Linked DNA regions of Lepisosteus oculatus. The protein of the gene in region 2 interacts with the protein of the main gene of each other region in a pairwise test. Links are inferred from orthologs where the notes say so. Each region holds a gene or a part of one and is shown on either strand. Other genes may lie near its edges.

What was found.
Region 1: the proteins of ribonuclease ZC3H12A (region 2) and p4ha3 interact in binary tests that used the Homo sapiens proteins (3 or more experiments, as listed by UniProt). The two-hybrid records come from large-scale screens. The link is inferred for Lepisosteus oculatus from reciprocal best matches to the Homo sapiens genes ZC3H12A and P4HA3.

What each region holds. Positions count from the first base shown.
Region 1 is NC_090700.1:9,362,082-9,378,579, reverse strand, and holds the start of p4ha3 (prolyl 4-hydroxylase subunit alpha-3), read right to left. Parts: upstream 6,499-16,498; 5' UTR 6,234-6,498; coding exon 6,013-6,233; intron 4,578-6,012; coding exon 4,423-4,577; intron 4,129-4,422; coding exon 3,905-4,128; intron 2,750-3,904; coding exon 2,600-2,749; intron 2,040-2,599; coding exon 1,988-2,039; intron 1,429-1,987; coding exon 1,265-1,428; intron 557-1,264; coding exon 380-556; intron 1-379. Other genes in the region: or95a1 (odorant receptor 129-1), read right to left, coding at 10,533-11,462; odorant receptor 131-2-like, read right to left, coding at 13,914-14,873. UniProt on the Homo sapiens protein: Catalyzes the post-translational formation of 4-hydroxyproline in -Xaa-Pro-Gly- sequences in collagens and other proteins.
Region 2 is NC_090706.1:5,515,272-5,532,533, reverse strand, and holds the start of ribonuclease ZC3H12A, read right to left. Parts: upstream 8,907-17,262; 5' UTR 8,781-8,906; intron 7,354-8,780; 5' UTR 7,159-7,353; coding exon 6,701-7,158; intron 3,618-6,700; coding exon 3,478-3,617; intron 1,442-3,477; coding exon 1,207-1,441; intron 594-1,206; coding exon 487-593; intron 1-486. UniProt on the Homo sapiens protein: Endoribonuclease involved in various biological functions such as cellular inflammatory response and immune homeostasis, glial differentiation of neuroprogenitor cells, cell death of cardiomyocytes, adipogenesis and angiogenesis.

The DNA.
Region 1 (16,498 bases), on a different chromosome or scaffold from region 2:
TCTGATGTTCAAGTGTGTCAATGAAATTTTACAAGGAGGATATACCAGCTCTACTGTTGCCTATACTGTATGCCGTTTTGTATATTTGCTTTTAAGTGGGCTTGTAACTACACTCACTAATGCTAGTTCTGAAACTGAATCTATGGAGAGAAAAACATGCATTATATTTAGCACTGCCATTACCTGTGCTGGACTTTTAACACTTTAGAATATATTTGCCTTTTTGTGGACGCTTGTGTGGCCTGAGAAACTTGGTACAACTGTGCTATTTTTAAAAGCGATGCACAGAGATGGAGAAAGCATAGTGCATCCCAGATGCATGGCATTCTTATGGCATGAGCAAACAGGAGCATTACCAATGCGAAGGGTACAAACTTACTCCTGGTTCTGCAGAGCTCTTCACACTTTCAGCCTCCGCATCACTGACGAAGCTGTGGTATAGAACCACATATGGTTCCAGGCTGACGACCTCTCGTTTCATTGGCTCGAGAATCAGACCTGGGTTGCCGTTAGTAAAGTAATCGCAGAACAGCCCGGGGTTTTCATAATGTTTTGGCTGGAAACAGAAACAGCATATGAAGCTTATTACAAAGCTGGAATAAAAAAAAAAAGACCATTGTTTTTTTTGTTCTCTTGAGCATTAGGTTTTCTGGTTTCAGCGGCAGTTTCAACTCCCATTTCAAAGACTGAAAGATGTGACGGTATTTCATGAAATTAAAGCTTTCAATTTCTAAAACATGACGGACACGTTAATTTGAATAGGAAATCAAGTTTAATTAATAACCTTTTCTACTTTGCGTGAATCCCCTTTTCAACGTTTCTTTTTTTTTTGCATAAAGATTTAAAATGTTAAAATGGCCTGTAAACGGAGGTCAATATAACATTACAAGAAAAAATTGAATTCAAGAATATTGCAAAGCTTTTTTTAGAATTAGATTTGCGTCTGTAATAGAGAACACAAAGGCGCTTTCAACTATATTTTAACTCCATGATGACAGATACATTCCGTCTTAAAAAGTAACAAGGCGTTTCATGCTATATCCACAGGTGTTCATATGAACCCTTTAACACTCCCCACCTACAAACACATGAGTATACAGATTTTTCTGAAGATGAACATAAAAAAAATCATTTAATAAAAAAAATGGAGCATAATGGTAACAGCATTGATCAGATGACTTTTGTTTCTGTAGTGCTTTTAAATTCTTTATATGAACAATTTCCTCACTCAAACACTGACTCAAAAGAAGATATATGTTATTACCTGGGACCCCAGAGTCTGGCACAGCCTTTCATACACATGTCTTGTGTGCAAGTAAGTGGAGTTTGGTCTCTGCAGGACAGTATGGTGGGATTCTATGGGTGGAGATGCAGCAAGGAGTTTTTCATATTTTTCAATGTTCCGGGAAACCCTTTTATTGGAAGGATCTTTAAAAACAAATACAAAAGAATCTCTGAGCATGGCGTAACCCTGACTGTTTCAGCTTGTTGCCTAAAACAGTGATCTTAAAGGGATGGGATGTTCCACCATGTGGGAGCTAAATAGAAAAGCCATTAGAATTGAGCCAAGCTCGCTGCAAAACCAACAGAACAACTGGAAAAAAAATCATAAGAAAAGCTTGTAATAAATGAAAGTTTTTAACCGAATATCAATACGATTAGCTTTTTTCTAAATATAATGTTAGACTGTAAAATATTTTTTAGAACAGCCATAAAATGTTTTAGAAACGTCAAACATGAGAAACAAGCAACAAGCATTAACCTGTCCTAATATTCCGCTTCTGTTGAAGCAGACCTAAACCTAAAACCACATTAATGCACAGATGATTCGATGTGCACAGCATTTATACAGTATATTAAGGAAATGCCATAGGATCTCATCCTGCAGAATATGAAAAGCAGCTGCTTGACACAGACTCTTATGCTGGTGCTCTGTATTGTTTTAAGATACTGTAAGTCTGTACGGTTAGTGTGGATAAAAACATACCATAACGCAGGAGCTCCTGGGAGAGAACCCAAGCGTAGGATATGTTTCCCGTCTGAAACACAGCGTTAAAAAAAAAGAGCTCAATGCCTGTTGAAAAGAAAGCTAGTTCTCCTGAACAGAATCCTATCTATCTCCGTCAGTGGGCACTGCTCTGAATTACCCTGCACTGTACCTTTTTAAATGCCCCCTGGATGGTCTGATTAACATTCCAGGTGTTCTGGAGGTGTTCTCCCATCCCATTTCCTGAAAGGTTTTACAAACTGCATTAAGCAGTTCTAAACAGATGCAGAGCTATGTAGAAAACAGCAGAACAGAGCACGTACAATCTCCTACATACAAAACCAAGCAGGGTGAACCTTAAGTCGAACATTTGTGCGTCTGTCTGGAGTTGTATGGTAAGCATGTTTTGCCATCCACCGTTTCAAACTCTAGCCTAGCTGTAGACAAAATAAATCGCCCATCTGCAATTTTACTTACTGTAAGCCGTAGCTGTCAGGCAGAGGCAGTGCTGGATTACTGTTTAGCGGTTGCGTCGACAGGCCCCTAACGCAGGAGAAAGAAAACTAACGAGCGACAGAGAAAGGGAGCTAGAAACAGGGAGAATGTGGCTACCTTGAAGTGAGAGTAGGCCAGGTGGTCCAGGGTGTCCTTCAGGTTTCCTTCATCTTCAGTAATCCACTCACCCTGAGCCCTGCGAAACAGGCGAGCTGCCTCTTCCAGCCACTGCACGGAGTGATAGAAGTCCTCCATCTCGTAGGCCACCTGAAACACACCCCGACAGGCAACATGTCCAGCTGCTACCTGCATCAGCACACTTACAGCTAATCCAAACTAATTCCTCCATGCTCAAGGACCATCAGAACAATTGTCATTTGGTTGCCAGTAGCTTATGGATCTGAAAATGTAAACCCCTGGCAGGTACTTTTTCTATTTACTGTACAGACTTGGTTCATATAGCCAGAGACCAGTAGAAAAAGAAAAACAGGGAGATCCTCATTCTATGTTTTTAAGGAACAAATCCAAAACAGTGGAATACTCTTTCCTAGCCGACGCAAATTTAAAGGAAAAAATGTGAAGAGTCCTTCGAAGGCAGCTGATGACACACAGAAGTCACCAGTGACTTGTTGCAGTGCTCAGGGAATGCGCGGATTTCTTTATCTATGACCTTTTAAAGACCGAACAATCTAATGCTGGAATTATTCTCTACACTGTGGAATTTTAAGAGTGGGAAGTCAGGACGCAGTTTTTAGCTGTGAAATCAGGGCACTTGTCTGCCAAAACACTTTGACATCATGGGCGTCTGAAGAAAAAGAGAATTACAGCTGGCTCAAGTTTTATTCATACAATTAATATACTGTATATTGCTACCCTTGATGGACATGATATTTGATGCAAAACTTGGTTTTACCAAAACAATTACTTATACTGAATGTACACTTGCAACAGGTACAGGGTATTGCAAAACCAAATCTGTTCTAAGTAAACAATGTGCAAAATTATTCATACCCCACAAGTCGGCATTTTGTTGATCCTCCTGTCTTATTGACAACATATGGGGTAGTGGATTCCAACCTTTGTCCTAGAGCAACACTGTCACTGTGGCTGTTGTTCAAGCTGAGCCCTACATACCCATTGATAATTGACGACTTAATTGATCTGCTTTCTTGTTTAGACTATTATTGAACTTGTTTCTTCACTCAGTCCCAACAGTCAAAAAAACCCTATTTGAACTGTCTGCAACAGTTTCGGCTTACAGAACTTTAAACAACCTTTCCTTGCCTCGATTGCCATTATTTCTGACTCTTATTTGGCTTTATTGAATAATTAATTAACTGCTATAATTATGCACAGATCAGTGAGAATCCCCATTCAATCAAGGTTATCTCAGAAGAACCTTGATTGTTTGCGTTTTCCCACCTTTCCAACTTGGAAGCAGTCGTCTCCTGAGAGGGGGACGATGACAGCAGGTCTGTAAATGTCCATTGTCTGACCTGCAGTGACCCTCTGGAACAGTCCATTCGCTAGCCCCTCCACACGGAGAGAGTACACATCCTGGAGCCTCATCAGCCCCTTGGCAGCCCCTTCCAGATCTTCGAAGTTGGGCAGGCGGCCCTCCTCTTTCTCAAAGCCTGACTTGAAGGCTAAACAACGACAAGGAAACTGGGTCATTCTCCGCCCCAGAATTCAGCATTGCGACCAAAACAATTTTAAAAATTGCTTTATAAGCCAGTCGTGCCTTGATTAGACGTCAACTGGTGAAAGGACCGCGGCAATTTGGAAAGCACGCTACTCAAAAACTAAAACATTGAACTATTTTGCCCTCAGAACTCAGAGACTGAAAGTGTTCAGCTACTTCCTGGAAGGGGGAAGGGCAGGCGGGTGATGGTGTCTCGGGGATCTTCAGCTGTTAAGCAAACCGGCCGTGAAATTGTCACCTTGGGAGTTCTCGTGGGCTTCATTGCTGTGAACCACATTGAGCCACTCAGACTGCAGGCGCTTAATCAACGTGTATGCCACCAGAGGATTAGCCATTGCTGCCACTGGACTGTGATACACATGACTGTGCAGGTCTGCCACCTTCGCATAGAATCTGAAAGGAAAGACAGGATTGATGTGTAAAGGACTTTATCTATAGCACCACATATGAAAGCCTGAGAACAACGGAGTTCCAATTTTTTTTTATATACTGCATAAATTATTTATTCCAAAAGATGAATGACCTTAATTAATGAATTAAGGTCTGTGTCTGTATACAGATACTACTAACTTGTTATACTAGCTGGTTATTAGCTAAAAACTACCTGCAGGTTTGCCTTGCCTACCTAGAATGGCAGGAAAAACGGAAAGCAGAAAAAAAACTGAACCCGCCAGCTACAAAGGCAAAACCCAGCACCTGACAGCTGATTCCCATTTAATAAGTAGCCCCTGAATCCTGCCTTCAAATGATGCGTTTGAAATGCGATATTCCTGGCTGGGTTAGGCCTTAGTCCAATTAACAGATAATGAAGTATGGGCGACAAAGTGTCAGACACAACTAGTAAAATTCATCGAAAAAGAAAAGAAGCCAGCACACAGAGAGCTGGCTAATGAAAGTATACATTGAATAATCAATGGGTCTGAGAGAGGAGGGCTGAATACACAGCAGGAATTGCGATGACCAGGGAAAAGAATACCCTTTTTTTTTAGGATTCAGTTTTGGCTGCTGAGCCGTGCGAGAAGCCATAGTAAAATGTTCCTTTGTGAAGGGAACAACAGAGATCAAGCTCCCTGCTGCTCCCCACAGGACACACTCCTTCAGAGAAGGAGAAAAGAGTACAGGCTGGTGACACATGCTGTTAGCCTGGCTCTGCCTCATGTCCATTGGTTAGTAAATAAGATACCCCAATCCCAATAGCAAGACAGGGGAAACCAGCACAAATACAAGAACACATAAATAAATGAGAGGTACTGTAGGTAACACGGCTAAAGAGTACTTTTTGGGATGAGAGCTTTCTCCTCTTCAGTCATATTCAAAAACCGTTTCCCTTTACTCAGTATAACATGGGTTCTCTCCAAGTCCAAACACCACAAAAAAAACTACGATGCGCACACACACACCATAGCATTTGAGCATATCCTACTCCTTATGCGATGACAGTTGCGTGCCATGACGGACTCGCTGCATCTCACGAAAGCGGCGTGCACAAGTTTTAGATTACACCCGTTTAGGGCTAACGGGCTAGTATGCTTTTCCAATACACAAGAGAAAAGGAAAAGGCTAGTAGTGCCTTATCGAAACACACGCACAAAAAAACCCGCCTCTAGAATCTAAAACGTGATATTCAATAGTAAACATTATATGACCGAATATTGCCAGAATGCGTGACTTCCATATGATAACTTGATGGTAAATTGTTGTCAGCTGTGGTTAACAGCTCTGCAATATGAATGCAAAGTGATAAGCAAAACGTAAACGGTAAATAGCCTTAGCCACTCTTAACACACAAATCATTCTGAATTTAGCCAAGAAACAGAGAGGGACCCACCTTTTGATGTCATTCAGCCTGAGGGTTTCATCCTCAATATAGGTCCTTAAATGGCTTAGGAGCTCTTTCTCTACAGAAATGGCTTTCTGCACATTAACCACAGAAGTGTAAATTTCACCGAGAGAAGGCGGCACCACAATGAAGTTGATGAAAACCAGAATTTGGAGATTTTTCAGGAAGACAGATATTCCACGGTGTCTGAATAATATTCGATAAGTCATTTTAATTTAAAAAAAGAGTCGCATTAAATACGTTCAGCATAAACGACGAAAACGGATATAAAAAAAAAACATCGCATTTTCCTTGCTAAAAGCCAGTAGTTCAGCACAATGTAAAGCGTTTCTCGAAACCTTTAACAATTACTTTCAGACGTTTTAACTGCAACTCCCAAAACTCCTTGTGGCCAGCGCAGTTCTCTGCAGAAATGTGAGACCACGCAGATGAGGTACTAAGTGAACACAGGAGGTCTAACTGCTATCAGCCCACACTTGCAGGAGACGAATTTATGAGGTCAGAACAAAACAAATAAATGTATATTTATTTAAATTACAGTTTATGGCGTTTTCTGGGACAGGGGCCGAAAATGCTAAAATAAATGTATATGCACTAGTTTTCATATCAAAAAACTGTTATTAGTTTTCTCCATTTGAAACGTTTTTATTTTAAAAACTATATCAATTAGCACACCTTAAAAATGTTAAATTCTAGGACTCCGCCGAATATACCAATAAAATACCCCCGAAATAGTGTTTATTGTTTTAATCAAAATTCATTTGTATTTATTGTTAGGACTCTTGGGAAACCATACATACATATTATACATATTGATGCATCAAAAACCAATCTTTACTATCACACCACTCTTACTCGAAAATCCTTATAACGAGCACTAGATTATTTAATTAATTTATATTATTATTAATTTATCAAGGATTCCACTGCTCTATAATTAAAAAGGTAAAATAGAGGTAGGGATATACACGTAGAACAAAGCACGCGTTTAAGAGTTGTAATTGTAAAAATACAAACCTGAAACATCACCATCACTAATCGTTTCAACGCGAATAGCAAAACAGCAGTTACACGCGTAATCTGCCGAGGATTGCATTCCGATTTGCAGAGACTTTCACAATCAATTACAGACAATAAATTAAATGATAATAACAAGAGGGTTTAAATGCATCTTGGGGAAAGCAACATACAAAGGTCACTTGGGAAGCAGAGCGTTCCATTTCATTTAACTCCTTCACCTCCAGATGGGGTTAGTGAAAGGATTTACATTTTTTAAAGTGTTTTTTTCAACGGTGTGAATTGGTCTTAATTGAGTTTTACAGCAAAACGTACTAACGTCCAGGAGGAAATAGTAGAATTAGCATATAGAGAACATTCAGAGAGAATCAAGCTTTTTAAATCAATTGTCTCAAACTCGGCTCCTGGAAAGTCAAGCGTCTTTTGTTTTCTTTTTTTGTGTGTGTTAAATTTAATTAACTGCCTAATTGTAAAACGCCTTGCTACACTACGAGGGGTTTTATAGGTAACTGCACCTTTTATGAAGTGAACGTTTTGAGTAACTGGCTGCATAAGTCGACCATTAAATAAAACATATATACAGAATCTAACTGGGAGAATAGGCAGATGGATAAAATGACTCCTTAAGTTGGAACTCAAACCAAAATGCTGGAATTGGAACAGGTAAAGTTTTATTTCATGCTGAAAGGAAAAGAAAGGAGACACAGGGTTTTGGTTGTGGAGCCTACTTCAGGTGTCCCTTGTCACTTTTCTTGGAAAAAGTACAGGGTACGTTTTTCCATTGTTAGTTTACCGCCTCCACAAAAAGCATAATCATAAGTGGTTGTTTAAGTTTCTAATATGTTGGAGTGTTATACCTCAGAAAACAAAATGTAGGTTGTCACAAAAACAATAATTCAATGCTTCTGAAGTGCTTAGCTGTTTCAACTTTACTTGAAACATTTCTTCCAATAGAATCGCAGTCATCCTGCACTAGAGCTGCTAAACAGAATACGATTGTTTTCCCTGTGCTGGGTTTTTTGTATTGACAGACTTGAAACACATCAGACAACAGCATTAAAATTTACATATATATGCCGCCAGCCTGCTAGTAATCGAAATCTAAATCAAAAGCTTCTCTACATTTGTAATCATTTCCCTCAAGTGCATTTCTCATGAATAATTAGATCCAAAAGTATCTGTATCTGAAATATATGCTGTATATCTATCTATCTGAGGTTCTTAATCTGTATCTTAGAACCTCCCCACACTATCACACTTTTAAAATGTAATATTCAATTGTTTGCACACTTGATCAGTTTGTGTAAGTGGAAACTGAAACACCTGAGCTACAGTAAATGCATACTAATAAAGTCTTGAAAATGTCATACCGACACAAAATTAATGTGTTGACTTAAATTGTTATGCCTATTCTGCACACATTTCCATTGGCTAAACTAAACCACCAAAGCAGAATTCGATGTGTCTGACAGTCCTGCTCTCCCTGTCTTCCACTGTCTGTCTAGAAACCCTTTAAAAAAACCAAAGCAAAACCAAGGTTGTTTCACATTTTTAAGTAGACACGGAGTAGAATTGTTCCTTAGCCGAATTGAAAACACCCTTCCCTTGATATGAGCCCAGGGAGATGAATAATGCAAATTAAAAAAAATAATAATAGAATTACAGGCTCTGTGTGGAGCTTAGATACAAACACAGGCACTTTCCCCTAAGTCGAGCAGTGAGAAAAATAACCTGCTTTCAAATGCTGAGTCATTGTTTAGCTCATGTAACACTACATTCAATTGTTTTCCTTAATGGTCTGGGATAAACTGCACAGAGTCTGATTGGGAGTTAATTAAGACGCTGTTTTCTCACACTGTTTTCACTAATTGCAGAGCCTTCATGTATATTTTGTAACCAAGAGCTGTTGTTATGCAACTCTTCATTAGAGTAGTGTTCGATTCCCTGAGCCATCATCCTTTTTCTTTCTTGAATGATTACAACATCTTTAACATGTGTTTCTGTAACCCCTTAAGCCAAATGAATCATCTTTGAAAGTAAAGCCTACAATGTGGATCCTCTGCAAGGAATATGTTTCTACATGTTTCTTCACGTGAAATTGTGTGCAAAATCTAAAAAGAGCAAAAAGCATTCCTCTCAGGTTTTCTAGTAAAAATGTTAAAATGTCAGCTATAGATACTTTTGGATTTATTTATTCATGAGAAATGCACTGGAGGGGGACAATTACAACTTAAGAGCAAGCTTTTGATTTCGACATAGATTACTAGCAGCCTGGGAGCATGTACTGTATATATAAACTCTAACCCTAGAATATATATTCATTTTTGAAAGACAGGAACAGACTAATGAAACAAAAATAAATGATTGCAATAATAATAATTAGATGAGATTCCTTTCAGGTAAAATTAAGTCAATTTGCAAAAAGGACTTATTTCAATTAAATATGTTTACAGTATATTATAGTAGATATAGTAGATAAAACACCATTTTAATAGTATTACCCACAGGCACAAAAAGCACAATTAGGGACAGGTGTTATGGGTTGGATTAGTTTTTTATCTACTCAGATTCAAAGGGAATTTTATTCATTTGTTGAAGACTGGAATACAGAAAAGGCTCAAGAGTATAATTGAAAAGCTAGCTGTCATTCTCATGACATATAAATTAAGTATTCATTAATGTACTATCATGCATTCAAGGCATATTTGCGGCATTTTGCTCCTTTGAAAGTGAGTTCTCTCGGCTGGAATTTTGCAATATTTTCTGGGAAGCTGGTTAGGCAGTTGACCTAAAGGTAAGCCTAGGGGGCAGTATTGCTATATAAATGACAAGGGTGAAAAATTACACTTTTCTGCACCAAAATCATGAAGCACTGGTTGGAAAAATTTAAATTGAAGCATAAGGCGAAGGCTTTCATTGAAAGCTGTCGAGCCTAAAGAGCGCCAAAACCTGAGTTTAGCAACAAAAGCAAAAATTAAAGACAAAGGACATGTTTTCTTTTCATTTTTTTAATTCTAGATGTGATATTATAGAATCTGTTAGCAATGAAAAAAACCCACACTTGCTGTTAAGAAAGAAAATTTAGTTTTACCTGCCCAAATTGATATTTTAAAATCTCCAAATAATTTTTCCACCCTCAGCTTTTGAATATAAAACTCTTCCTCTACGTTCCTCGCTAGCATAGAGGCTATGCAGCAACAACAACAAAAAAAACATTATTGCAATCAACCAAGCATTAATTCCTGTTCATACCTTGTGTTGGCATAAAAAAATAAGATGTACAAGCTTTCCTTATGTATTTTTTATTTATTGATTTACCACAACATCATGGCATCAGAAAAATCTGGCTTTCCATTAGTGGAATAACAAACAAATCAGATGATAACATATAAATATCTTGACGTACCTCATTTTCTTTAGAAACACTTGGTTTCCCTGGTGATCTTTGACAGAAAATCTTGTCTCGTATTACTAAGCGGTTACCTGAGGGATTATGGGACATTTTTATTGGAACAGCACAGCATGGCTCTCTTCATGCGAGTTCGGAGTTTCTCGTCTCGGACGCCATATATCAGTGGGCTGAGGAAGCGGGGCAGAAGAATGAAACAGAAGTAGTTGAAGAAGGAGATGTGTTCCTTCAGCCAGCCCACGTGAAGCACTATCAGGCTCTCAGTGATGGGATGCGTGAAGGACATCATGCAGAGGAGCAGCTGGATTCCATGCAGTATCACAGTGTGCAGGGCTTTCTTCACAGAGGCTCTGTCGGAGTGCATTTTCCTGGCCTTCAGCAAGATGCGGATGTAGGTGTACAGGATGACGACAGCGACTAGAGCAAAGAACAAGACGTTCATAGTGACTTTGAACAGCGTTTGAGTGGGGGAAGAGTTAAGGACCTGTGACTTGCAGAGTACAGGGGTCGAGTACACGTCTATGTCCGAATAAGACCCAGCTAGAGCAAAATCGACGGCAGGAAGGATGCAGCTGATCAGCCAAACAGCTCCCATCACGATCCAGGTCCTGTCCACTCGGCAGATCTCCGGGTGCCGCAGGGGGTAACAGATGGCCACATAGCGCTCCAGAGACATGGTGGCCAGGATGAGAGGCGTGTTCTGGAAAGTGGCGGTGGAGATGAACAGCAGGGGTGTGCAGAACACGACAGCGAAGCGCACGTTGGTCATGACGAAGAGAAAGAGCAGCACGGAGAACAGGAGCTGGGCGGTGTCGTTGATCAGCATGTAGGCAAACAACACGTAGCGGGAATTCTCCCAGAACTGTCTGTGCGAGGCGAACGTGAAGAGCATCAGAATTATGAAGTACAAAAAGGTGCAGAAAAGGGGGGTGACCACACAGATCTTTATCACAACTGACAGACTGCTGGCAGGAGAGGTCACATTGCTTGGGAGAGCAGTTGAATTCTGCATGGCTTAGGCACACATGTAACACACAGGGCCAACCCTGACTTTCTTGTGTTTTATGTGGCCCAGAGAACCTACAAAATAAGCATTATAGTCATTATCCAGATGACAGAAATTGAAAACATTATTTTTGTAAAGAATTGACGTTTCACAGTCCCACTCTCGCCTCTATTTGAATTGTTAGAAGACAGTCTCTTGTATGCTATAGAGAAGGCCTTTATAAATATGCACAGAATTAGGAATGATATTTATGTTTCTTGTTGATTTATTGTATTTCCTAAGATTGAATCATTTTCAGATATAAATATTCATTAATTTCCTAACAATTATCACTTGCTTGGTGCCTTTAAATATGATTCATATTTACTGATACTTCCAGGATACCAAATTCAATTGCATAGAAGCTTTGCACCATGCCCTTTGTTCCATTTGTTTTTTTTCCAAATCTCACAAGCTTGACTAAAACAACTAAAATAATTTTCTCATTTGAAAGAAAGTCTGTTCAATTTAGTCTTATGAATTGTATTGAATGAAACATTGAATCTGAATAAAACAAAGAATAAGAAATGATTATAGTGTACAATAAAATACATATGTTGGTGTCCCTTAAGAGTCTCTAAGATGATTTATATTAGTAGTTTAGGTAAGCTTTGCTTTAAGTAGACTTTAATTATCTTTTTCAAGATGGATTATTGAATTGGTGTAGATGCAATTGTGAATAATGGAAACTATTGTGAATAAAGGAAATAATACATTTTTAGAATTAAACAAGTCTTTTCTTAAGTTTCCCGTTGTGAGTAGATTGATTACATGCATCTTGCTGCATTTTAGCAATTTAAAATGGTTTTACTATTTTTTGGTACTTTAATGGTAATTACTAAATTTACACCAGTGCTAAATCTTCAGCTTTTTGTTCGTTATCGCCAGCCATCTTACCTTCGTGTGCCCAGTGAAGAATATAATAACTGAGTTTCAAGTTTGTTCAACTTTTATATGATAGTGCCCTAAAAGACCTGCAGGAAATGCATCCTCTTAGGAAACATATTCTTTAGTCTGTATGATGTTGTTTTTCCTCATGGGGTAAATTAATTTCATGCTATAGTCACAATCCATCATTTTGATAATTAGTACTGATGGAAACAACAGCAAAGAGATGTTAGTTATGGGAGATAAGGAATAGATCTCTTTTGGAACTGTGGGTAAAAAGACCAAGGAAAGGATTTGTACTCTAAGAATGGTTCACAGCTGTCTCAGAATTATGTATTCAGTTTGAATTGGTATAACATCACGGTGCCCCATGAGCAACTCAGATCAGCACACGTATTAGTATTAAAGTAATACTTGTTAACAACAGTAACATGAACAAGCACACTGTTGATGGAAAAAATGTTGTTTTGTTTTTACCACTAACTTTAGTTTTTTGCTTTACTATTATTATTCACTGTTATTGGGTTAAACAACCCTATTAAAATGCTTTAACCTTTTTTTTTTTTTATAGAGAGACCATAATGAATGCTGAATTTAAAACATTTAAATTTTTATTTGATTTTTGTGCTTAAATAATTTGGCTTTTTACAAGCAATGGTATATATTTAATAATACTACAAATTTGGTGTTGGTTTAGCATTGTTTTGACTAGAAGAACAGAGGAAAGGTTAGAAATGAAAGGAGGCTGTTAGACCCATCTGGATTGTTGGTTGCTAGTAGATAGTTGACACACAGTAGATCTAATGGTCTTATCTAGCCATTGTTTAAAGGAAGGCTTATCTGAAGGTTATAAATATATATACAGTATAAGTTGTAAGATCCAGGAAGCATGATGATCTCACCTTCAGCATCCGTGAAATTTTAAGTTTCTATTTGAATTTTCTACATTTAGAAATTTAAGAACAGTTTTGGCAACAGTACATTTGTATTAAAAACAAATAAAAAAAGTAAGAACGTTTTTCAAAACTTCATGTTCTTTACAGCTTTCTTGGTAAAAACTTAAACTTTCTTTCCAGGGGGGTATCCTGCCTTGTGCCCGTTGCTTGCCATAAAAGGCTCTTGCTTCATTAGAAAATGGATGGATGTCTGTTTTCTCAGGTTGCATGTATAATTAATACATGTTTGTAAAAACCACCAGGTATTAATTTGAAACAAAAATAACAGCAAATATTATTTCAGTTTTTAAAATGTGTTTTTTCTTCACCTGAACATTTTTTACAAACTGAGTAAAAACTGTTTTAATTGCATTATTTCTAGCAATTTAGTTCTGCATTTTCTACCAATATAATGATGAGAAACTTAACCTGCACTAACCTTTTTCTAGTTAAAGGCAGAACACACCAATCAGAAAATGTGAAACTCAGTTAGACTAAGTTCAAGATAAATCCAAATGTTTTGGATTATTATTGTTAACTTTTTGTTCCATTTAAATTAAAATTAAACTAAAGGCCTAACATTTGGAATTTTATTTTAAAATTTAACCAAAACAGGTTTTACTTTCTTAGAACCACACATAAAATAATATTTAAAAAGTGGACGAAAGCTCTCGTCTCTCAGACCGTATATAAGTGGACTTAAACATCTGGGAAGGATGAGAAGAACCACAAAGTTGAGGTACCGCAGGTGAATGTAGACGGACACAGTCATCCTTGCTAACAAGGCCTCTATCACACCATACAAGGAGGAAGTGAGGCACAGACCCAGCTGAACTGCGTGCAGCAGCACTGTATTCCTGGCCTTTGTTGCTGAAGCTCTGTCAGAGGAGACTGACCTGGCCTCCAACATTATTGCCACATACGTGTAAAGGAGAATGACTCCCACTGCTACAAAATAGAAAGTGTTGAATCCTTGATACATGTCTGCCTGCCATTTAGACATGAACAGCTTTTCACGTGTGCAAAACATAGGAATTAGGAAAAGTGTGGGCTCAGTTTTTAGCAGAACCAATACGTCTATTATGGGGTTTATAGAGCCAAGAATCCAAATTATCCCTATGGCAATGCAAGTCCGTTTAGGAGTCGCTATTTCACTGTGTCTCAGAGGGAAGCAGATGGCTATGTAGCGCTCAAGAGACATGAGAGCAAGGTTCAGTGGGGAGTTTTTAAGAGTGGTACTGGATATGAACAAAATAATGGTACACACGGCCGTAACTAAGTACAGATACGCTGTTGCAAAGATGTACAGCAGGACACTGGTCAGCAGCTGGACGGAGTCGTTGAAGAGCATGTGGGCAAACAGGATGTAGCGGGAAGACTCTCTGAAGGTGCTTTTGCTCCTCAGGGTGAACAGCATGATGCCGTTCACATAGATGAAGAAAAAACATGCTGACACAGCTAGAGTCCCTTTTATTCCAACCACCCAGTTAATTTCTATCCTGATTTCTTGTTGGTGCAAGAAGTTGTTCACTAATGAAATATTTGTCAGCTCCATAGGAAGTTTCCCTGTTAAAAGAAACAGAAAATGGGTTTTATTTTTTAATCACACATTTTATGCTTCTCTGGAAATGCTACCAACAACTGTTAGTCACTATTAGTGCATTATTTTAGACTGAAAAAAGAGACCTACGAATTTTATTTCATCACCTTTGTAAAAAGTGCAATATATTGAATTTATAAAACCAATGAATACATACCAAATCATTCTCTATAGAAAGACAATATACCCAGCATGAAAAAAAACTATTTTAACATTTAATTAAACTATTAAGAAGTAAAATACATTTATAAAACAGTGAAATATAAACCTCTGAATATATTTTATGATTTGGGTTACTCTAAGACAATACTGGTATAAGAATATTTGTAAGGAGGTCCGTACCTTTCAGTTCATCCAGCTGCAATCAACGAGAAGAGCTGACAACTCACTCTGTGGTTCTCTAGACATAGTGGAGATGAACACGTGATTTAGTTGTCATCACTGACTTAATGTGCTCAGCATCGTGAGTAGCCATGGCAGTGATGTGACAGGTGAGGGTGATTAATAATTAAAGACAAACAGAGCCCTGGAAAGCAGAGTGGGTGATCTGTCCCATTGGCTGCAGTCTAGGGAAGAAAGTGGTAATTGGAGTGACTTGAAACAGCTAAAGATAGAGGCAAATGAGAGGGGATTCTTGTTTGTCTCACACTTAGAAGATTGATGTGCCCTGAGTCTTGGGAATCTTTTCATTTAATTTGAAGACCCTAGTAAATAGCCTACTGGTCTTTTCAGTTATATTAGAATGAAGATTTTCAATAAAGTCTCTCTGTACCAAATCATTTTAGATTTTTGTCTTTTTTTCCCCATTTGCGGTCATGAGATACGTCTTCGTGAGCTCTGAGCGAGAATATAAATAGAAATATAGGGATGTCCACATTTATTCAAAATCACAACCATTTATAGGCTCAGTTTCCAAAATCAAATGAATGCCTTTATGCAGGCAATCTGGAATGGGAAAAAGGCCTTTTATATGTTTAGTAAAATACAAATATTTTTGTTTAATGTTTAAAAATAATATTAAGTGTGCACACCAGAAGACAAATTAGGGCACACTGAGAAGGAAATCCTAAGAACCTCGCTGTATACATATGAAGGGGATATCTTAGCTGAAAAGGGCAAAGGTCATGGTCCTTCACACAGTTTCAAAATAATAGGCCCTGCCTCTAGAACACAGCAACACTTCCTTCCGATCAGACAGATTATGTCCAAGTCAGTTCTAGAATGTTCTGTAATGTTTGGTTTGTAAATGCCAGGATGAAATAACATGCTACTTTTTTGGTAGCTAAAAAACAAATTACTCTGCAATATATAGTTATAGTATATTGACATTACCCTCTTCTCTTCATAGCTTGTATAAATTAGTATGAATCTATATAGCTAAAGCTACCCTAAAAGCAATGTGAAATTTTGAATACCAATCTGTGTTGCTGAGTCAATAAAAGTTTGTTCTAAGGGAACTCCACTGAGTAACACTGTGTGAATGCATCCTACAGCATGACACCGTCTGCTGGAAAGGGTATTTCCAAATCTGATATGTCTGTGTTTGCTTGGAAACAGAGGAATGGCATGCCTTTTGAATT
Region 2 (17,262 bases):
GGTACTTTAATACTCTGCAGTGTTGTTAGGCTAGAGTCAACAGAAACAGAGTTCAGGTGGGGAGCTGCGTCAGCATGCGTAGGCTGCAAAGGAACAAGTAATAGATTTATTCCATGCTGAAAAAAAGAAGAAAGAGAACACAACGTTTCGGCCGTGGAGCCTTCTTCAGGTGTGGAAACCTGAATAGTTAAATAGTTAAATAAAATTAGAAAGGTGGCAACAGAAAACAATATTCAGTTTCTACTTTTTATAGATGAAATGTACTTAGGTAGCTTTTTTTAAAAAATGAACTATATATAGAAGAATTAAAAACACAATCAATGTTTTGGTACTAGAACCAATTACATTTGATATGTTTTAAATGTCTTTCAACAGAATTCAATTTACAAGCAAAATGTTCACAATTTGCGAGGGATAATTATCCAAGTGCTAACATCTTGATCAGGTTTGAGCTGTGTTCAGAAATGTGCTCTTGAAGGGTCTTACCATATGGACAGTGCTGTCGTTTTAATTCCTGGACCAGGGGTTTCTTCCTGAGGAAATTATCCAAGCTGGGACCATGGCGTCCAAGCGGATCATCAGGAGGCATAAATCTGAGTGAAACAGAGAAACATTTAGGCTCACAAACATACAGAAAATCATTTTCTACAATCCTAAATTTACCATGTGCTAGATGCTCGGTCAAACTCTTTCGAAAAAGAAGTCAGCATCTCCATATCACGAAATGACAAAGAAATGTTGAAATAGCATAAGAGACAAGCAGATAACAGAGTATAGGTGACTTATCATATTCAGTGTGTTGCAGGCTTATAATGAAAGCAACAGGTGTAAACATGGTCCTTAATTAAACATTTTTTTGAAATCTAGAGCAATGAAGCGAAGAAAAAAACCCCAAAACTGTCAAAGAGTAAAGTACAGTGAGCTAGGCTGAACAGTATTTGACACAATCATTCACTCTAGAAAAATGGGCTGCATAAACTGGCGCGTGGCTCCGATTAAGGTAGTCTGAGGGAAGACACGCGTGGTCCTCACCATCTGTCCCACGCTTGCAACGCCGAGACAAGCTGATTAACAACACAATCACACACTGGATGGGTGGAGGGTTTAAAACGTAATGGAATATGTGGCCCAAATCAGCAACATTGTATAACGCTTGCCCACAGCCGGGGGATGCTGGGCCGCAAGGCGGGCAGCGCCTTCGCTCACTTGTCGTTGACGAAGGAATACATCAGCAGGCGCTCCTCTATGAAGCGCCTCCACTCGGGCCGCTCGCTCTGCAGGTCGCGGTAGGTGTCGTTGGACACGATGATGCCGTCGGACTCGTGAGCCAGCTTGACGATGAAGCGGTCGTCGTAACAGACCACCCGCTTCCCCCCCACCCGGCGGGAGGGCGTGAACACCACAATCTTCTTCCGCTCCAGGTCTCGCAAGATGTGCTGGTCTAGGAAAAAAAACACGAGAACCACGGTGGAACCATGTAACCTGGAACAAAAACATTGTTTATGCATATCCTGATCTTATTCTTCATCATGCATCTGAAAGATGCCATCTCAGGACAGTCTGGCCGTCGCCTTTTAATGAGGAAATGAAAAAGATTTTATACTAAAATTCCCCAGAGAAGATGTAGGTATGAAGCGATCAGCAGATAAATCACATTTGAAATTCTATTTCCTTGTGGGGCTTTCCCAGCTGCGTTTCGGTCTCCTTTCTTCCTGGTGTTCTGTAGAACATTTACCCTTTCAAACCCTCGCTCACAGAATTTGATTTCAGAGGGCAGGAAAACCAAACTACATGGTCCAGCTGCTGAAGCTTTAGAAAACTAATATTGAAACAAAAAACCCTGACAAGACAGTCATAACCTGCAGGTATCTCCATTAGTGCAGCAAGAAGCCAGGGAAAAGGGATTAAAGTGGTTTATCATTCACTTACTCAAAGGTTCATAAACACTTTCAAAAGCTTGGTCAACTCCCCTATCAAAGTACTGCTGTGATCTTTGCACCTTTTATAATGTAATAACACATTCAACCCTTAATAAAGGGTTGACAAAGTGCCATAAAGAGCAGGAAATACCTGCTGAAAAAACACCGGGAAATAAAGCCAGATAAATAGAAGAATACAAGTATTGTACAGGTAGAAAAAAACACAAAGTGGATGGCAGCCTTCAGCAGCCTTCAAGCTCAGAGGGCCAGGACCTGCCTTGCTCTCCTTGACACTGGTGCCTGGCCATTCATTGTAGGTTAACTTCAGACATTTTGCACAGTATTCTGAAGCAGTTATGCATATGTCAGCCTTCTGTGTGAAGATATGTTTCAGGATGTATCAGGAACTGTGCGAGTCAGGTTTTACTGTTTTATTGCATATGTGTTGGGCCTGATCTTCCCTAAAGGCAACGTGCTTATTTTATAATAAATCAAGATTAGATGGGCACTTTGTCTGCAGTTTGCCACATGGAAAATCAGGCTCCTTTTTTTTTAATGGCTTTTCATTTTAACAATATATATCTTTACAGTGGAGAGGAAGAGGGGTTTCAGTGTAATTTGTTTAAGTGATCAGAATGAGTCAAGTTAATAAACAGGATTAATTTATAAGAATAAATGCAGGAGGAAAAAAATGATTGACTTCAAAAAGTAAAACTCATGGACTAGTCTGCACAACTATAACAGGGCTTCAAAAGACGTTTTAAACAGCTTAATTTCTATTTCTGCCATTCTGTCATGTCTTTCTATGCATACTACCAACAAGCCGATTGTACATGTGAAGCTACATCAGAAAAGCAATAATTATCCAGGCCTTCATTCCTCTGTTGTGCAACATATTATCCTGATTCGGCATTAGAAAATGCAAAGAATACAGTTTTTAGATGTACTGGTCATTTCAGAAAAAATACAGCTGCCTTTTAGAAATAAAATCACTTAATGCCTCTGGTGATTGAGTGTACACATTTAGACTTCTGACAACAGCAGTGAGTCACATTAACAGGACCATCTTGTAACGGGAGTAGATAATTTGTGATTCACTTGATAACCTAGATTAACAGGTGTAGTAACCTGTATAATCCAGAAGTTATACATAATTCACTTTACATCAGGCACCATTACAAGCACTGCACAGTTTTCGATTGGTTTTGTAGCATCTTTTCTGTGCGTTTTGATCAGAAAAAAACAGCTTTTCTGTTTTTCCTAATTTAACAACTCACGCAGTTAGCATGTGAAAATATCTAAACTCTGTCTCGGTTAATGGTCATTGTGTAATTAGGCATGAAAAGAACATGGTATGAAGAAAATGGTAAAAACCAGAAGCCTTATTTGTGTTAATCTTTCATGTGCATGTAGATAGAACGTGGAGTGGATCAGGAATTTCAAGTATGAATGCAAATTGGTACTATTAGGAACAACACTTTCAAATGCATCAATTTAGTGTATGTAAAATAGGAATTAGTCACCAAACATATTTTCCATATACATTTCCATTCTTTACCTGTTATGGGTACATCAGGCCTGGGCTGTTCTTTTCTCCACGAAGGCACAAATACTGTAATGTCGCTGTGGCCCCGCTCCAGAAAATAGTTCACTGCAAGCTGAATCCCCCGGCAGGAAAACACCTCCTTATTTCCATGGCTAAAAAACAAAACACCTATGATTACTAGTTTTGAAACAGACTAGTGAGAAATTAAGCCTTAAAACAGATATTTTAAAAAATAATGTCTAAAGCCAGAACTGTATTAATTACGGTAGGGATGACTTTGCCCAAGGCCCAGTGTGACAGGAAAGGTGCTCACTCCATGTGATTATCGAACTTTAGAATCCAGTAGCTGTGAGGCTGAGCCGTGTTCATGTTAAGGTCTCATCAAAAAAGCAGCACTTTCAACAGCACAGTGTCCCTGCTCACTAAACTAGGGCATTGGTACAGAAGAATTGGAAGAAACCTCTACTCCACCAATACTACTTGATCAGGTTTCTGCTTTTTCCTTGAAGGTCCACCATACCAGTACAACTGACAATTTCTAAATGGTACGGGTATACAATGTACAAAAACAACTGTCAATTCTAATAAAAACAAAAACAGCAGTATAAGAAAAAGTTAAGAATTTAAATTTTAGGCTCTGTTATAAAAACAAAAACATAATCATCCTAAAACACCACTTTCATGTATACTCAGATACATCAATAAAGAGTTGAAAAGGTATAGTTTTAGCAGACAAGGAAACAACTTTAGCATATTCTGCTTTTTTGATGCTATACATCAGGTAAGGCTTCTTTGTTTTTAATCACAACATGAAATTCTAAAAACCATCATAATTTCCTATATTGAATTAAAACCAAATATAACACAAACAACACAAGAATACCACCAAAAAAACACCAAACTATTCCTGAATTAATCTGTCAAATAAATTTAAAAATACAAAACTTGTAGATTGTGAATTAGTAAAAGTTTCTAATGGATCACAAATTCAAAGTTAACCAGAAAGCAGAAAGAAGAGAACACTCCTAAGGTATTCCCGTATCATACTGCAGGGTTAACTGCAATTTTTAAAAAAGAATTAACATTGCAAGAATTAGTTGTACACCTTTTCATTGCTTTTTTATTATTTTTAAAAACAGTAAGGTCTAAAAGTAAAGTCTAAAAAGAAAGTTTTAGTTTTTAAATCACAATTAAATGAAAATCTGAACTTGTTTAATTCCTATCATTGGTTCTATTGTGTGAATGCAGAAATCAATGAATGGTTGAATGGTATGTAAAGAATTCATTAGTATCATTAATTCAGAGTATGGACATTTAGTCAAGCGCAAAAAAGAAGCTGTAATATTAATTTAGATTTATAAGTTACAAATTAAAGAAATATAACTCACATGAAAGGTTATGTACACAATATCTTTCATACTGAAAAATAATACAAAATCCATTACAGTATTATATTTTACCTATTATATTCCGACTATATACAGTACATGCCTTATCTTACCTTTTTACTATTAATAAAAATCTAAAGGCACTGAAACATCCTCTTTTGCAATATTATTTTCTCTGTAATGGGCAACACTTCATTTCACAGTGTGTTCTTCCAGATTGCCACCCTTACAAACATGATATCCGACAGATACAGTAGCTGAAACGTTTTGACTAAACTACGGAATGCTGGGGTATAAAATTTTCTCTTTGACTGCTGACCAAACTAGAATTTTCAGTTTTGCAAAGCTAAAAAACTGGTTTGTCACCAAAAGCTTTGGTTAACAGAACATGGTCCACTCTTTCAAATGTATTTTTATAATGACAAAATAAATCTTTGAACTTTTGTACATTTGTCACAGATGCACATCTTATGAGGTTGTGTCATATGACCATATAAATATGCCACTAACTCAGTGACCAGAGTATAATTCTGAATACCATGTTTGTATAAACGCACGCTAGTCTTTAAAAACAAAATATACTGTAATTCAAATTACCGATACACCAGTGATGTTCAGAAAAATATCTACTTCTCAGAAATGTCAGCAAGCTTCATTCCTTGAGCGCCTATAGACTTCGCAATAGGGCAATACTGCCAAGCCTGTTCAGCCATTACTGTCCATTCTGAAAATTCCCAAAGGAGGAAGTCGTGCTTTGATTTGCATTGAGATTTGCATACACTGAATTTAGTACAGACATACAGCTTACCAAGAAAATTATTCAAAAACAATCTTTAGGTGGAAAGATGAAGGAAGGAAAGCAAATTTCCTGTGCTCTTTGTAATGTTCTGTTTCACCTTTAGACCGGCCCTTGGCTACTTCCTTACAATTATTACTGAAGATAACCTCATGAATCTTTACGACAGAACAAACTCAATCATTGATCCTTTGACTATCGTTTTTGGGGGTATTGCCTTGAGTAAAACCTTACATCTCAAAAGCAGACCGTAGAGATAAAGATACAACAGAGTAAAGACATACAGTATATGGCAAATTAATTAGAAAGATTGATGGTTTGATTTTATACCCTGGCACTCTGAGTGACAGATGAAAAATAAAATAACCTACAGAAGGGCATTAATTGCTCTAGACAGGTGCCTGTAAGTTGTTGAGGTGTGTCTACCAAAACAGTAGGAAACACTTTTATATTAAAAGGGGAATCCTGAATATTGTGTCCTGACAGCTTAAAATCATTTCAAATGTTGTGGGCTGTTAAAACCTTACAATTACCCCTGTCCACTCTAATTGCTTGCCAAAGGATTCCTAAAATAACAGGGACTCTCAATAACGCACCGGGTGCCCATCACTTTGATTACCTAGCACAAACACAACAGTTTTATATTCTTCTGAAGTAAAACTGTAAAGAAAGCCATTATTGTTTGCCTTTCTTATAACAGCATGTTTAACAGTAACGTATGGTACAAATCTAAGCTGCGTTGGCCCAAAGTGTCAACCAAATAAGTGCCTAGTAATGTAGAAGTGAATAAAGTGATCAGACAGCCTACAATGTGAACCTGATGAATGTGCATTCACTAAAAATGTCATCGACAAACTGTTGCACATGATGATGGAAGAGAGGAATTTCCCACATTCCACTGTGAAGTCAAATGTTTTCTCACACTATTATTGCTGTGGTATGTCACCACACTGTACGCGGCAAGAATCAAACACCCACACTGTGAAATAAAGTGTAATTAAATTCTGTAAAAAGAACAAGATTTGAAGAGGACTAATGGGTACCTACACACCTCATGGCAACATTGCTTCCGTCGATCACGATCGGTTTCAAGTGACCACCCTCCTCCTCGTCCTCTTCGGGGGGTGGCGGTGGGGAGGCTGATAGGCTGGAGGGGGTTCTGGCTGAGCTGCCCCCTCGAGAAACTAAGACGGGGCCAGTGGGGGATCCAGTGACCCCTTCCCTTTCTGAAGCTGTGGCCCCACACCTGACCAGCTCACCCAGCACCGTATTGGTGTCGGCGTTGACGCCTAGCTTGTGGAGAACCGCCACCACCTCATCAACCGAGTAGCCCAGCTTGCGGAAGAAGTCCACCTGCATCTGAAACTCGCTGGCTTCCAGGTGTGCCACATCTGGACTGCCCTGCTTCTCCTCCCTGGAGGGATAGTGGACGCCTCTGTCCATCCTGGTGATGGCGTGGGAGCCTTTGGAATGTCTAGTTGCAGACGGGAAGCTGTTTAAGGACAGCATATGATCTTCATTTACATATGGTCCATGAACACCTGAGTTTCGCAAGGAAAGGCAAGTCTCAGCAGAGGTCAGTTGTGTTTCTTCTGAGTTCCCAGACCATCTGGGGGAAATCCACTAAAGGGCTTATCTTACGTTGAGAACCATCCAGCTTCATGGTTTCCTCCTCATGATGATCACTTGGGTAACACCTAGTTCCTATAAAAAAAGGTTGAAGAAAGTTATGTAAAATAGTAACAATATGCCAGCACAGTTGCATTGCTATGTGATGCTGATATTTTTTTTTAAGTCTGTGAATATTTGGCCTCACTGTTGACTTCATACCTGGGGGCAGGGAAATAATAACACCTTCTTCTAAAAGAGGCAAAAACAAAACATTTTAGAATGTGTCTCGGATTTTGCTCCACAGTGTAAGATGGTACTGGACACATCTTAAACCCACAGTGTCAAAACATTTACATTACCACTTAACCACAATCTGAGGAGCAGAAGCATATCACGTTGCATACGTGCTGCTCCCTTAAATTTTAAATATTTAAAAGGAACACTTTAAACTATTTCCCATTATGACAGAGTGCTGACTGCTTAAAGCAGAACTGCAATTCAAGTAGACTTTCTCTAAATCACAGTGCAAGACCTGACTGTGACAATCTGATGAATATCTATTTAACACAGATAACCAGTTAATACAGCTACACGTTTCATACATTAAACATCTATTTTAATTACTGGGCCTTATCTGTGTTGTTTCTCAAAAAACCACTACACGTAATTTGAAGGGGGGGTTTACACTTGTGAAACAAAGATGTGCCGCCGAGAGTAGGAGAATAAGAAATTATTCACTAGGAAAAATACCTTTGTCTTCACACACCTTTCACAACTTAAACAAAGTTCCACATGAATGGAGTATGCACTTAATCATACACCACCTGAGAAAAGCGTTTCTAGAAAATCTGTGACACGAATATATAAATAAAAACACCAATAACACTTGTTTGGACTATTTTTAACGTTCTGTGGGTATAACAGATACTTTAGCATTATTTCAAATGCAACAGAACTGCTGTCTTAAATTTAAGAAATAATAATAACTAAACATTATTAGCCGAATGGTGTTTTATAAGGCGTTTTGTGTAATCCAAACTAGACAGAACACCCATCTAAAATATTTAACTTCGGGTAAAACAGGCCGGCATAAAAACACAGCCTCAATTGTCCAGCTAACCGATACTTGTTTAAATCAGAAATTGTCATTGAATTGAAATGAGTACTACAAACCTTTATAGAATGGAAGAAGCCGCACAAACGGAAATTAAAGTACAACTGGAAGGATAAGAACACTAACCTAACGTCACCATAAAGTACTACTTAGGGCGCACGTACTGTTCAACAAAAGCACGTTTAACAAAATCCGATCGAGCTAGTTTTGCTTTTGTAGTATATTACTGGTTTCTGAAATACCTAATGCGAAGACGGACGGGCGACACCCTCCTTTATTTTAACACCCGGATCTTTTCCTTTGACTGTCAAACCGAACATTTTTATTTTAGCTCCTGAATTAATTATGTATGTTTTTTTTTAATTGAGGCATGCATAAATCAAGTAATAAAACCAAAAACACATACCGCCGCCTGTTTAGAATGGCAGAACTCCATTTTTGTTACTTCTTTTCGCTTGTAGGTGTTTTTTGCATTCCAGTTACGAAGTACAGTATAAAGTCTATTCCGTTTCGCCTCTCTGCCTTTATAGCATACCTGGCTGATGTGACATCATGGGGTTGCCAGGAAGGTAAGCTAAACAATTCAGTCTCCTTCCTGGTTTGAAATACTGTAAGCACAGCCTGTCCAAAGTCACAAGGAAGTAAGCTAGATAATTATTAAGGCCGCTTTGTGAACAGCAAAGGTAGAAGCCTTCTCTTTTTTTTCTTTTGTGAAAGAGTGGGTAGGTATTGTGAAACTTCAAGCTCTACAGTACAGCATGTAGACAAGGGCCTTGTCTGTAGCTTTTTGGTCTCCTCCTGTTTGAAACAAGATATGTTTCAGTCATATTGCTGACACGACCACCCTTGCAATAGAAAGAGGGAAAAATCAGTTTTAAGCAAATTTCTACAAATCTGTCAGAAATTAAAACTGCCGACGATTTACAGGTACACGTTTTCTTTTCCGAGTTGAGCGCACAAAAACGCCAAATACACTAACACTTCAGCACGTCACAGTTTTCATATTAAAATGAAATGAGCATTATTATTATTGCTAATTTTATAATAAATGAATGAATGTAGTGTTAAATAAATATTTCACTCAGGTGTCTACCAAAAAAGAAACCGACAATGCGCTCTAGGCTGAGTAAAGACCAAGTTCTTAATAAAATAGTATTAGCACTGAGACCGATGTATTATAGGAATCTGAAGAAATTAAGGTTAACGAATCTCTAGGGCCTGATGATATTCTACCAATTTAATTAAAGAAAATGAAGAGATGTTAATCATGGACTATTAATTAAACTCTTCCAGTTGTCTTTTTTAGGACAGGGGTAATAGCCATGAACTAGATAATTGGAATTTCCTGAAATTTAATCTATTCTTAAAAAGGATGAAAAAAGACCAATAGGTCTTCTGACTTCTATTACATGTAAGGTTATAGAAACAAGAATTAGAATTAAACTAGGGCATCATCAGTATGGTAACAGGGTTTTAGAGGTAGACAGTATAGATTTAGAAAAGGTACTGTAGGTCCTGTTAGACTTTAAACAAGTCACAGCAGTGATGGATACAAATAGCATATGATATTGTTACATGTCACAGGTGATTGGTCACAAGTTCAGTACAGGTTAGTTTTAGTCTGGACTAGACAAAGGTAGTGGTGGCACAGTGGCACAGGGATTATCATGGCTCTCGCAGTGCTGGGGCTGTGGGTGCAATTCCGGACCTGGACTTTCCCGTGTTTGCGTAGGTTAACTGGCTTTTGGGAAATTTGTTCCTGGTGTGAGTGAGGGAGTGGCTGTGTCTGGCCTGCGATGGATTGGTGTCCTATCCAAGATGGACCCTGCCGTTCCCAATGTTTGCCAAGGAAGGCTAAGGCTCCCTTGCGACCTTGAATTGGATGAAGTTGTTAGAAAATGGATGGATAGGCAAAGGAGCTGAAGGAGGCACACCTGAAGAAGGCTCCACGGCCGAAACGTTGTGTTTTCTCTCTTCTTTCTTTCAGCATGGAATAAACCTATTACTTGTTCCTTTGCAGCGTACGCATGCTGACGCAGCTTCCCACCTGAACTATCTATCTATCGCACCCTTTCACCTGTTTGTTATAGGGCATGATTATAACAGGGAGACTGGCCAACTACAGTAGTCTTAGGGGAATACTTCCAGGGCCTGAACTAGCAGTTCTGTTAAAACTGTTAAAAGCTGTTAAAACAGAGGTGGATTCTGTCAAAGGTACTCAAGATTTCATTCAGATGTTCTGCTGCTGGAGGCGACAGTGTGTTTGCCAAGAATGAGATTTCATTTAAAGATTAAGTTTTATTTTCCGGCAGAAAAATCATTCCACACTGAATTGTAATGATACATTGCGTGTGTATGTATGTACAGTATTTATTGTTTGAGGCAAAAAGTGCCTACTGTGACTGCACCTTTATGAGGTGGTGGCTATGGATTTGAGCTTCTTGAGCCCAAATCTGGGGCATCAATCAGATAGCACTAGAAAAATAGCCAACTTAATAAAAGGGGAAATGTCTGTGATAACATCATCAACAACAATAATAATAGAGAATAAAATCTCTATTATTATTGGTGGTAATATTATTACTGGTGGTAAACAAGTGGATGAGTCATTCAAGCTCATTTAGTATTGGTTTATTTGCAAGACCTTTTATGTGTTTTAATCAAATTTTCTGAGGCTGACAAGGTCCTGAATTAGTGGAAAAACGTAAACTTTTCTCCATTTTATTAAGCATAACGTTTTACTGCCGTTGGTGGTGGTGCCCAATTGGCATATTGCCGCATGGGTACAGTGGGCATTAAGGGGCCAGAGGCTCTTGTGACTCAGCAGGCACTGCAGGCCTGCAGCGACATCAGTGAGAATGGAGCTGCTCCTCCTTGTGGCAATACTTCTCCTTTAAAGCACCGCAGAGTTTCCAGCATGGCAAATGCTGAAGGCACATGTCTGCAGGTCCTTCTCCATCATTCCCCTCTCCTCATTATGTATAGATACGGGAGTTACCACTGGGAATCTGAGCCTTAAAAACTGAGTGGGCGTATCACAATGCATATTTGATGGTTCCAAATAATTAGATTTATGTAACTAAATCATTCATACAGTGCTGGTATTTTTAAGTTTAGATGTTAAGATGAATAAGACCGACATGTACATCTAACTGAAGACTCTTTTAGTTTTTTCAAGCGTTGAATTTCAACACTGCCCACAACATGAATAGATTCCTATAACTCCCATGGTCATTTGATTGATTTCTTTATGGATGCATGATGTCACTACAACACTGTGACATTTTCTCCATGTCATCTTGTTTCTTCTTCTGTGGTTAACGCTAGCAGTGTGAAGATCCCCAGGACTCTGCTCCCCTCAATAACTGTGGTCTTTGTCAATTCTTCTTTCAAGAAGCGAAACAAACGTGATAATGCTCTGTGGGTGCAAGCTTTTGCAATAACACTCTAATGTGACCCGTTTATCTGCTTAAACTGTGCATCCAGAAAGAAATATCAGAGAGTTGCATTCTCAGTTTGTTTCTCTCCAATTTCAGCCTACATCTGTGCTGGTCTTGTCGTCAGATTCGAAAGCACCTACTTTAGATAGATAGATACTTTATTGATCCCGTGAGGGAAATTGCAGTGCAACAGCATCTTAACACAGACAACACAGCCACAGTGTAAAGCATGATACAATAATAATAGTAATAGTACAATACATGCAATACAATCAGTACAGTGAGGGGTGCACTAAAAGAGTTACTCACAGTCCGGACACACATTAAGTGCTAATTCAGTGCAGCAAGGAGCACTGTGCGATCATTTCTCTTCTTTGTGTTGAAGTCTGTGTCGGTTATCTGGGGGTGTTTCAGGCCTGTCACCAGCTTGACTGCTTTGCTCATTAGTCCACATATTAACACAGGTCATAGTCTTGAAAATACTGTATATAGGGTCTGACCAGCCACAGCCTGAACACAGAATGAGAGCCCTGGAAGATGTGATGCTGCATTTGGTTTTGGGCCTCATGAGCTCGTCTTGGATAGTGATAGTGAAGTTATGAGATCCTGGTTACCTGGGGGAAGTGAATATATACATGAGTGGGATTGGGGGACTGTCTGGCTATTACTAGAGACTAGGTATGACAGAGCATATACCATTCATGAAGTTAATCAATTTATTCAGTGCAAGAGGCCACTGTGCAATGGCCACTTCAAGAAACTGTAATTTGATGTCACATTTTTAGGAACCTGTACCCCAAAAAACTGGAATATCAAATGTGGAGTTAGTCTGAAACTACAGGACCTATTGGGGAAATGCCTAGATGATTAGGTTATTAAAATAAGCATTATTGTATGTATATCAATTGTATTACAAGCTAAATATTTTAAGCATGTTTCGATTATTTTAGATGTTTGTCTTATTTAAGATGTATGCAGGTTTCATATGTTAGCATGGCATTATACAATACCAAATACTGGTTAGTTGCATTTCACAATACCAGAAGGTCTGCTAAAGACTGATCCACAGTATTCAACAAATGTCTGTTTCTTATAGAGCTCACAACTCATGTATGAACATGTTTGTACAAAACAGCTCATTATAAAAGTTGCTCTGCTTCAATCCAACAGCAGGGTGTTTACTGGAAATTTTTACATTGTGCTTTTTACTTAGTTTTACTGTTAAGAGGAAGTGAATTCAGAATTGCTATCAGGCTAAAATGCAAAATCTTAATTGCCTTCCTTATTGTTGAACAAAAAGAAAAAAAATATTATGTTAAAAAAAGCAATGTTTTACTTGAGTGGGGGGGACCACAATTAAACAAGGGTCTTGAAATAAAATCTCCTTTGGTTGAAAAGGAGGCAGGAATGTCGAAGTGAAGAGTACCGTGCCCCTTGTTATTGATTATATCTATAGCTCTGAAAGAATAAAATGTATTACCATGGGAGTTCTTGATACCTTATTAACTCATTAGCATCCTTGTAGTTTGTTAATGAAATGATATTAATGAATTGTTTAATTAATGAAAATGGCAATATGACATCAAAGCAGTGTGCACGAAAACCTGCATTCTATACATAATTCATCAAAAGCTTACAAGTATTCCCAAGAGAGGCCTATTACTCTAACTGAATTGGTGATTTCCAGGCCAATGGCTAGAGACCCCTGCTCTGAGTCACGAAAAACTAAAAAAAAAGACAAAATTCCCATTATTAGAGTCAGGTTCAATGACTTAAGGCAGTTGAGTATTTGAATCCAGTGGCTATATTTATTGCCATCCAATGGAGAATCATTTACTATGGAGAAAGAAATGAACAGACAACATATCTTCTTTCACCTCTTTTTGGTATACAGCTTGGTCTTTGTTGCAAGAAGTCACCTCTTTGGCTTCTATTTTGGTGGTCATGAGATATATTATTTTTTGATTTGTGTCCTCTCCAGGTCTCCGAAGCAATACATTTTAGCCTCTGAATAGGAAATAGGTGTAGCTGTGACATACAGAGCCTCAGCCTCCTTTCCCACCAAATATGAAGTCGGTTGCATCAGATCATACCCTGGGGCCACCTGAATTTGATGTCCCCTCCTAGACTCCATAATAACAGGTGCTGTAAGAAATGTTTTCACCAAATAGCTCCCTCTGCTGGGTAGAGGGATCTACTACGTTAATAAACTATTGGAAGTTTTTATACAAGCTTGTTATATTAAGGAACACATAAGAATGAAAGTCCTAGAATGAGAATCCAATTGATAACAGGACGAGTCCAAGGTATTCTCATGGCAGGATGAAAGAAGAATAGGGAGATGGCAGAAATTAATGGAAGATATATCATGAATATCAGATAAGGAAAGTAGGACTTTTCACTTTTTCTTGACATCTTGCAGGCAAATCATCTTTTTTGCCAGGGGAAATGGTTTGATAAGCATCAATAAAATCAGAACCTGTTTAATAATTTAAGTGCTATAATAATTTTGGCTATTAAATAATTTATCAGAATTAGGAAGTATAACTAAATAGAATTTATACTTTTACTTTTGGCTATGAATAATGAGATTTAGTAGGCTAGTATGAAAAGTGTAAATCGAAATACTGAGCAAATATCCAAAATACGGAGACTGCTTTTGCAAATGTTCCACAAGATGTCACTGTGATCTTATTTTTCCTTTTGGTGAAACCTGTCTAGTTTGATGTTTCGTCCTAAAGAGGCTTGCTACTTATAAAGGTACATGAAGAGCTGTACACATGTAATTTATTTGGTTGGCAATTTCAGTCTGTGCAATTTATTTTCTTGTTGTTTTCTCTTTTCAGTGTTAATGCAAATAAAAAAAAATAACTCAAAATTTTGTAACAGAAAAAATGGGGTATAATTATAATCTTAGAAAAATGTAACCGTTTTTTTATCTTTTCAATAAATACAATGCTGTCGGAGTACAGAACAAAGCTCTGCTGAATATGCTGCAATTTTATGAGCACAAGAGGACATTTGTTTCCAGCAGTAATTTTACCTGTAAATTTTTTTAAAAATTTGAAAGTGGCAAGAATCCACAAACAAAACAATAACATTTGCAAACAAAAGAAATATTACAGTGATCTATCAACAAATAGGATGTATATAAGACATTAACAGGAAGATATCCTTCCAAATACAACAAATGCGAAAGTCAGATTATACACTGCGGTTTGAAAATTGCTATTAATGGAACAGATTCAATGCATACACAGCATGCTGGGACTGATTGTTAATGCTGATTATGAGGAAAGAACTGATGGACCAAAATGCAGTCCTTGAAGATTCAAAATATAGGTGCCTCTATGAAAACTCAAACTCCTCTATTTGTTGCCCAGGTTACTATTGGAAATCTCTTTGTAAATGTGGTAATTATTTGGCAGGGGGACAAAGGCTGTCGGTTGTATGATACTAATTTTCTTTCTTTTGTGAGACGAGGGTTAAATGAAGATTTAGTCAAGAGTTTTTATATAGTACACCTTTCTGCATTTTGACCTCTGTCAACACTCACAGCTGTACCTGCGGGTTGCCAGCAGAATAAAACAGCTAGCCTTCCATAATTACTCAGGGACATCTTTATATATTCATCTTTACATTGTACCTAGTGGAGTCCAAGGTTTAATCTTTTGCTGGTGGCCAATTAAAAGATATACTCTATATAGTATGTATTTTATTTTAAAACACCAGGAGCCTGTTTTACTGTCAAGGTGTAATTTTACTTTGTTTACTTTTCTATTCATCTGCTTTAGCGTATAGCTATTTGAAGAGCAATATAATTTCTCCTTCTGCCAGTGAAAGACAGTGAAGTGGCTCTGCTAGTTGTCTCCACAAAATAACATTTTCTGTAAGAAATGAAACACACCATTGTGTTGGTTGCTCGCGATATATATATCATGTATATATATGCTGTGGTAGCATGGAATGAAAAGACTCATACAGCATGTATACCGCTCCTGAACCTAAGCTTTTAAGACCTTTTAGTTGGAAGGATCCTGGTAAAAGTTGCACTCATGCAGCAGTTAGAAAATCAGTGTAATTCACCTAATATTGGACCAAAACTCCAAGATGGATGAGGAAGGGATTTTTAAAGTTGATGGAGTACTCATTTATCTACACTGACATCAAAGAAATCATTTAAGAAATAGAGCAATAATATAGCACTTCTACAATTTTGTATATGGAATGCAGACTCAAGTTATTTCTAATAGAAAGTTGGAATCATCTAAATACTGTACCAGATTGCTGGCTGAAAAGCAGGAACATTGGACACTGTAAGTGAACATGATGGTTGTAATGTATTGCCAGTAAATTACCCCTTAATCTGGCCGACACACTAAGGAATATCCTCTGAATATTTTATGGTGTGGATGTAGTGTGGAATAAGACAAAATTCCATTCTGTTCTTGGAGAAGCAAATTTAACTTCCTTGTAGTTTCTCCTCCCTTCGCCAGACTTGTCCAGTTTTAACTTCTGCGCACAATTAGATTGAGAACAGGGGAGTACCTTCAGGCCTTATTGCACAGTCAAATCCTCATTTCACCTGCTGGGCCTGATTAGTGTTGCAGAGGTATTGCAGCCAGAGGTAACGAACTCAAACAGAGTCAGGGGGTCTTCTCAACAGGGTTCTCTGTAGTTCAACAAGGTGAAACAGCCCTATGCAACCTGTATCTCTGTGACCTTTGGAAGCACAGATTCCAGAACTGCAGTCTTTGTGAGTTTATGCTGAAGGGAATGACGTCAAAGTTATTATATTCTAATACTCCAAAGCAAGGTATTTAGATGTTTTTTTTTCCTTTAATTTGTCAGCATTCAGAGCTTCTATTTCTCATATTTACACCTTAATTCAACAATGTCATACTTGTAAGTAAAACACATTTTATACTTTTACTGAGACTTTAGTCTCATCTCCAGAACTATGTGTGTATACAGTGTGTGTTCATAAATAGATGTTTATAGTTAGCCTTGAAATTTGAAAGGGAAAAAATGCCAGACAGCATGTTTACATGGTGTCCTAGCCTATAAATTAAAAATAATTATAAAATATATTATATTATAAAATATAAAATATAAATAATATTATATAAAATCACATTATACTATAAGAGCAGGACATGAAGGAAGGTTGCCAAGCACAAACAGAAATTCATAATCCTTAATGTCCATTTTTTTAGTTTTGCTATACAGTTCAAATTGAACCATTTATATATACTATGTTGTGAATGTAACAGATTGGTCTCTTCATTGTCTTATTTTTAATAGAATCCTAATAATTAATGTCTAAGAATATAAAAATATTGTACATACACTAAATATACCTATAATGTAGAAGTATGAGAATTGCATTTTTATTTAAAAAACACAACACTGCAGATACATTGCAACACACTATATTATTCATGAAAA